2 linked regions of the Drosophila melanogaster genome follow. The protein of the gene in region 2 interacts with the protein of the main gene of each other region in a pairwise test. Each region holds a gene or a part of one and is shown on either strand. Other genes may lie near its edges.

Region 1 (3,753 bases), on a different chromosome or scaffold from region 2:
GCCCAAACCAACGCTGACTTCGGCGTTTAGGTGAGCAGCGCATACAGCGTATTCTTTGTTCGCTAAGATCCGCCCCTTTGCAGTGGAAAAGCTGGCACCACTGCCGTGAAGGCGAATAAGACGACGGGTGAGCTGCTGCCCATGGTCATTAACACTTGGAACTTCACGGCTGCCAATGTGCTCGCCTGGCGAATCCTGAAGCAAAGCAAGGGTGGACTCCGGCAGACGCGGAATGCGGTAGTGGAGGGCTGCTCGAAGTGTGAGAAACTCCAGTGTGACCGAACGGTGGGCTATGGCGGATCGCCGGACGAGTTGGGCGAAACCACACTGGATGCCATGGTCATGGACGGGGCCACCATGGATGTGGGGGCAGTGGCTGGTCTGCGACGCATTAAGGATGCCATTAAGGTAGCCCGGCATGTTCTGGAACACACGCAGCACACCATGCTGGTGGGTGATGCGGCGTCAGCTTTCGCCAATGCTATGGGATTCGAATCAGAGTCGCTGGTCACGCCGGAGTCGAAGGACATGTGGTTACAGTGGACGGCTGAGAACTGCCAGCCAAACTTCTGGAAGAACGTTCACCCGGATCCCAAGGTCTCTTGCGGCCCGTATAAGCCGCGGCCGACTCCGCTGACCCGCTGGAAGGAGGACCGTGCCCGCAATGAGTATGAGATCGGACGCAAGAACCACGATACCATCGGCATGATCGCCATCGACGTGGAAAGCAACATCCACGCCGGCACCTCCACCAACGGGGCGCGGCACAAGATTCCCGGACGGGTCGGCGACTCCCCCATTCCGGGTGCTGGCGCTTATGCAGACAACGAGGTGGGTGCAGCCGTGGCAACCGGAGATGGAGATGTGATGATGCGCTTCCTGCCCTCCCTGCTAGCGGTGGAGACCATGCGGGCGGGAAAACCTCCGGCTGAGGCAGCTCAAGAGGGCCTTCGCCGCATTCTCAAGCACCACAAGGATTTCATGGGTGCTCTCATCGCCGTAGATCGGCTGGGTAATTATGGCGCTGCCTGCTACGGCCTGGCCGAATTCCCCTTTATGGTTAGCAGTCCAGCCGGAGCGGATGGGCCTACGCGCTTGGAAACGGTCAAATGCATAGGTGGTCAGGACAAAGTAAATATCGTGGCGTTGTGAGGTGGCGAAAACTGTAACGTATTTCAATAAAATTTAAATTTCGTGGAGTTCTCATCTGCAATATAAATTGCGTTATTTGTTTGTCCCTATCGGCAGCAAGATAGACGGGTAGTTTTACCGTAAATTAGCGGTATTAAGAATTATCGATATGTAAGGATCCTTACATAAAATAAATAAATAAAGTATGAGAATAGAATAGAAAAAGACAAAACAAAAACCATTCCTTCGATAGTTATGACTACCAAAATGAATAACTTTTCCTTATGGAGAAACATTATAATTGTTATATAAGTAAAAATAATGCAAGTATTAATATTTATAGTGATAAATATAATATATAAAAATTTAATTTTCACTGCATCGAGAGCTGTGAACTGTGAACATCTATGTTGCCAAAATCTCCCTCATCCCTAAGTTACTGTACCAAAAGGCGGCATTTCTAGTATTTGCGTGTTGCACGGTCACATTTTCCGCCAATTTACCGACGCCAAATACAGAAGAAAAGAGAAGCGAACGGTGCGAAAGCGGAGAGAAAAACAAGCGGATCCTAGTTACATATACCAATTCGTGTGTCGCGTGTTATCAAAACAGCCTCCAAAATTATCAGGAACGCGCAACCAGCGGGCCGCAAGTCGCTGACTAAGATGGCAATCCAACTGGACAAGATTCTGCAGGACATCGCCAAAGAAAAGGTGCTGCATCCAAACAATGGCGGCGCCAGCAAGCAGGAGCAGGAGGAGGCGTGGGCCAGGATCGGGCGTCTCAACAAGCTCTCTGTGCACGAATCGCGCTCCATCTTCATAGTGCTCCAAAAGAAGTACGAGCAGGAAAAGCTAAAGGGCAATTCGGCGTGGAAGCTCTTCAGTCTGATGCATCAGATCCATCAGGAGCCTAAAATCTCAATCAAGGAGGAGAAGTAAGTGGCGTAAATAGTCCTCTAACCGTGAAACACTAACAAAATTTCTACTGCTATTCTGCAGTGATCAAGTACCCATGGAGGAGGTGGAGGAGTACGAAATGCTGGAGGTGCAGGAGCCTGAGGACGAGGATGACGCCCATCAGTACGGACAGCACACCAACTCTACCGGCTCGGCGTCCTCCGACGGCGAAAGCCCCACAAAGTCACACAGCACCGGTTCGCCAGAAAAGGACGAGCGGTTGGCGTACGCCAAACCCAACGTCGACACTCCTCGCCCAGCCATCGAGGAGAAAAAGCTGCTCAACACACTGGCTAACAACACACCGCGAAGTAGCTCGCTGTCCGCCGCCGCAGCAGTACTGCAAAAGAAGGGAATTACTGTGAAGAAGACGCCCAGCTCCGCAGCAGCACCGAAACCGGCTATTGGGCAACAGGCGCCAGCCAGTGGGCAAAGATCAAGCTCCTCGCGCACCACCATTCAGCTGCCAGATTCTTTGAAGCGCAAACTTTCGGAGGAGTACACCTCGTCATCGGCGCAAAAAAAGCAGACCAAGACCACGAGCCCGAAACAAGCCGCTTCATCGGCAGCCGCAACTTCAGTGCACACCAGCGTTCCAGATCAACTGCCGGCGGGAAACAATGTGGTGCACACAACCACTGCCCAGCTGATGCAGGTTAAGAAGGAGCGTGAGGACAACCAGACACCACCGCCGGGTATCAACATCATCACCATTCCATCGGCACAACAGATAAACGGTGGTGGTGGGGGAGCGAACTCATCGACAGCCGCCACCATTGCTTCCACCTCGGTGGCTTCCACAAACGGCTTTTCGCCACACATCGACGAGCTGGACTTTAAGAATGACATTATCTTCGGGCCGAAGATCAACGCCGCCTCCTCCAATACACCCGAGATTATCAACCTGGGCAACTTTGACAACTCGCTGCCGCCAACCTTTTTCAAGAATCTATGCAACTCGTCGCGACACGAGTCTCTCGGGCTGTACGTGGCCAATGTGATGAACAGACTCTCTTCGCGTGCCTCCGCCAAGCTGGAGCTGTCCATCTTGCGCGCCATCCTCGATGTGCAGAGCGACGAACTGGAGCAGTAGACCGACTGATACTCGCAATTTAAATGATTACTCAGCTTACTTATTAGACAAACTAAAAAGGTAGTTATGTAGTAGGCCTGTCTGAACCATTTCTCGTATTTATCGTATTATTTTTTCCGTGTTCAAACGTCTGCGTTCTGTGCCGCCCACTTGTAAAATGTATTTACTCACAGTTCTGGTATGAGTGTTCATAGCATTTACGCATGAATTTTAAAGCTAAATTTAAAATGTATTTCTAATATTTGAGATTTCGAATTTGTCCCTATTTAAGGTTGAATATGCTACTTGATTTTAAAATACGTTTATATGCAAATAAATCTACATAACTTACTTGAACTTCGCCCAAAAAGATGTATATCCGGTTGCCATGTGTAAGTAGTCCCTACTTCGCTGGGCATCTGCTCCCAGATGGCCAGTACGTCCTCGTTGTCCACGGAGATGATCTTCATGTGCGAGGCCTTATGAGGTAATTTCTGCAGCACAGCAAAGCCTTCCAGCACTTTAGGCGGCTCTGTTGGTTGAATTTAATGCACATGACTAAAGGAGAATTTGTATTAATGTGTTTTTAAC
Region 2 (3,753 bases):
GAATTTCGGAGGCAGCAGCTGCCGCTTGGCGGGCGAGCTCCTCTGTAAAGGTAACCATGAAAGTAGTTCACTCGGCATTAGATTGATGTTGGTACGTACGATTTACGTCGTGTTCTGTAAAGTAGACATCCTCCTCCTGGGTGCCGTAGTGGTAAGCTTCCAAGTAAGGTATCACCGTGGAGTTGCGGTATTTGTCACCCTTCAGGGGGGGAATGGGTATCGGTGGGCCGGTCTTAACCGGTGCGGATCGGAACCAACTAAAAGCAGATTATAACAATCAGTTATCATGAAGTGCAATCAAGGAATATTCCTACTTACGTGTCGTGGCGTATTTCCTGCAGAGAGAGGCGTTTACTGGGATCAGCCTGAAGCATGCCGAGAATCAGGTTGGCAAAGTCCGCGTCCATTTCGTATAGCCACGCGGGCGCCTCCCACTGACCTCGCCCGATGTTCTCCAGCAGTCGGTAGATATTGTCGCCCTCGAAGGGATACTGTCCAGTGGCCAAATTGTAGCTGCAAATCCGTTAGATTAGTACAGTATATACATTTAATACATGATATTATACAAGGAAGGCTTACAGAGTCACTCCGCTGGACCAGATGTCCACCTTGAAGCCGGCGAACGTCTCGTGTCCGTTGGCAATCTCCGGTGGCTGGAAGGCCGGAGAACCTTGGCCCGTCGTGCATGTGTCGTCAGGTGCGAACAGATCCAGTTGCTCCGCCACACCGAAGTCGGATATCTTCAGCGTTTGATCCAGGGAGAGCAGCAGGTTGCCTGGCTTGATATCCTTGTGGATGACCCGGCAGCTGTGCAAGTACTCCAGGCCGTCGACTAGCTGTTTGAAGTAACCGTGCGCCTGAAACAGCGGCATCCGCTTGTCTGGCTGATAGTCAATCATCTCCTGCAGCCCGCCGACACAGTACTCCATGACCAAGTACATTTTCTGCTTCTCCTCGTTGTACAAAACATCGACCAGCTCCACGACATGTCGATGCTTCAGCTGCTTCAGCAAGGCGATCTCGCGCGTTACGTTCTGTTCGCCGTTGGGAATCCGGCGCAACTTCCGCTTAGTCAGGATCTTGACGGCCAGGCGGCACAGGTTCTCCGAGTTCATGGCCTCCTTCACCTTGCCGTACGATCCCTCGCCGAGAACATCGCCCATTATGTACTTGCCCACCATCTTAATGCTCTTCTTTTTCTGCTGATAGATGATGTCCTGGCTGTCGACGCGATTGAAGAACATATTACCCATGTCCAGCGTCACGCGATCGAGCGTCTCGATCTCGTCGTCGTCCAGCCACGTGACTTGCGGATGTGGCTGGTCATCGAGCAGCAGTTCATCCGGATTGTAGAAGCCAACGCCCGCGCCCGCATCATCCGCTTGGGCGGTGTCTTCTTTGAGCTCCACAAAAGCGTCGTCGTCCAGATCGGAGGCGACGTCATAGTGAAAGTTCTTATTGGCCAGCAGTACGGTCATCTCGTCCTCAACAGGATCCGGCTCCTCCTCCTCCACCTTGTGCTGGGCCCCTCCGCCCGTGGGATGATGTAGATGATGATGGTGTGCTGCCTTGACCTGTGCCTCCATGGTGGTCACAGTCATCTGGCCTGTTGCTCCTGCCCCTCCTGCTTCTGCTCCACCGGCTGCTTTACCTCCGACTGGCCGAGAGCTAGAACATTGCATAAACCTCCGCGGAGCCCCAATGATCACATATCGCAGGTGGCAGCCCCACTCCGGCGGATGGGAGTGGACGGTGTGGTCCCTGTGTTGCCTGTGGCTGCAAAACGTTTGGTTAGTTCATGGCTACACCTAATCCTCACCAGGCACACACGCGCTTTTATCGCTCACCTCTCGAAATACCTTTATTTTTGTAATCAATTCGCACACACTCGAATTGATTGCCGTGCGATTTTTCGAGGTCCCTCGTCGCCCGTCGTCTATTCTGCGATGTCCGCTGGAAAGGCGTTCCCCCCTTTCGTTTCACCGTCGTGCGATCTGTTTCTCATAGAAATTTGTGAATTCCTGTGTTTACTCTCGCCGTTCAATTTGTTCTTTTCCCCTTCCGAAAAATTGTTTAACAATTAGTTTTTGGCCAAAGTAAGTTCGCCGCAATACGGTCACACTGGTCGCGGGCAACCAGGGCTGCACGAGCACTGGTTGTTGTTGCTACTGTCGCTGCTGAAAAAAAAAAACATTAACGAAAAATAATAAATTTGTATTTTTCGGGACGAACGCTGGAATAACTCGAATCGAAGTGGAAGTCATGGCCGCTGGGACGACGACCAAGGAGCGCCTGGAGCGTCTGATTAACGCTAAAAAGCAGCTGGAGGCGCAGATCAACAGAAACGGACAGATCCTGGCCGCCGTAAGTAAATTCGCTTGCTCATCCGGGGATACCCTGCATCCGGGATAGGGTATGCACACTGTGGCAAGCTGTTGGTGACGCACCACCGTGGATATTCATGATCGCAGGTTCTTCAACTTGGACGGACCGCCAAGCCAAATGTTGATATATTCAATACCCTACTGTTGGTTAGGGTATGTCCACTTGGGCAAGCATTACAGCATTATCCTATGCTTTGGTGTAGGGTATATACACAATTGTATTTTGAGTACATTCTTTTGTTTATGCTGTATAGCATTGATAATGATATCTTCCTTCCAGAACGACAATGTGGGCATGAGTGGACCACTGGTGGACGCCGAGGGTTTTCCGCGCAACGACATCGACGTTTACCAGGTGCGCCTGGCGCGACAGACGATCATCTGCCTGCAGAACGACCACAAGGAGCTGATGAACCAGATCCAGACGCTGCTCAACCAATATCACAGCGAGATTGCCACCACAGATCCGGAGCTGGTGAACCGCGCCTCCGCTTTGGACCTGGACAGCGACCGTTCACCCGGTGGCGCTAATATCACGGATCTTGCTCCTGCACGCGCCATCGTGGTGGTCAATCTGGTCAGTCCCGATTCGCCCGCCGAAAGAGCTGTGAGTGAATGTAGTAAACAAGCGAAGATCACAGCATTGAGATGGGCCATCTTTACCATTTAAGGGTCTCTGTGCCGGCGATGCCATCCTCCGCTTTGGCTCCATCAATAGCGGCAACTTCAAGGGAGATCTCGCCCAGATTGGCGAGCTGGTGCGCAACATGCAGAGCCAGAATGTCCAGCTGAAAGTGAAGCGCGGCGAGCAGCAGTTGGACCTCATCCTGGTGCCGAAAACGTGGAGTGGACGCGGTCTCCTGGGCTGCAACATCGTCCTGCCGCCCGAGGCGATGGATCACTGATGTAGCTTTGTGTTTAAGCTTTTTTCGAGTTGCCTGTGCACTCCTGCCCTGCACTTTAGTTATCAGCCCATCTCTGCCAGGCCGACGAACATGGTTGCTCCAAATTGTGAAAATTGATTTTTGGACGCGATTTCAGGGCAATTTCAGCTGGAGTCATCTCGCTGACTGACAGCCGGGTCAGTGGGCCAAGGAGCAGCAGTGGAGTGACCCAAGGTGCACAGGTGACAGGCAAAAGGATGATATTGTGATTCGGTGGATTCTGTCGACATGACCGATTTTTTTTGCATTTAATTTTCATTCAATATGAAATGATGCGTAACAAAATGATGAGGCGGTTTTACTAACAAATAAGTTTTTATAGCGCTTTTACTGGTAAATAAAGAAGGATATATAATTAAAAATATAAAAAACAAATTTGGAAATTATTATCTAAAAGCATAAACGTTTTTGCAGAAGACTATGGT

What was found. The genes of interacting proteins can lie anywhere in the genome.
Region 1: the proteins of CG9588 (region 2) and Map60 interact in a two-hybrid assay, tested with the Drosophila melanogaster proteins (one large-scale study listed by BioGRID).

The regions. Positions count from the first base shown.
Region 1 is NT_033778.4:9,589,233-9,592,985, forward strand, and holds Map60 (Microtubule-associated protein 60), read left to right. Parts: upstream 1-1,634; 5' UTR 1,635-1,796; coding exon 1,797-2,068; intron 2,069-2,132; coding exon 2,133-3,183; 3' UTR 3,184-3,512; downstream 3,513-3,753. Other genes in the region: clos (closca), read right to left, coding at 3,515-3,694; CG1827 (uncharacterized protein), read left to right, coding at 1-30, 84-1,152.
Region 2 is NT_033777.3:13,675,039-13,678,791, reverse strand, and holds CG9588 (uncharacterized protein), read left to right. Parts: upstream 1-2,110; 5' UTR 2,111-2,262; coding exon 2,263-2,364; intron 2,365-2,664; coding exon 2,665-2,991; intron 2,992-3,055; coding exon 3,056-3,289; 3' UTR 3,290-3,700; downstream 3,701-3,753. Other genes in the region: Lkb1 kinase, read right to left, coding at 1-42, 100-257, 319-513, 580-1,682. UniProt on the Drosophila melanogaster protein: Acts as a chaperone during the assembly of the 26S proteasome, specifically of the base subcomplex of the PA700/19S regulatory complex (RC).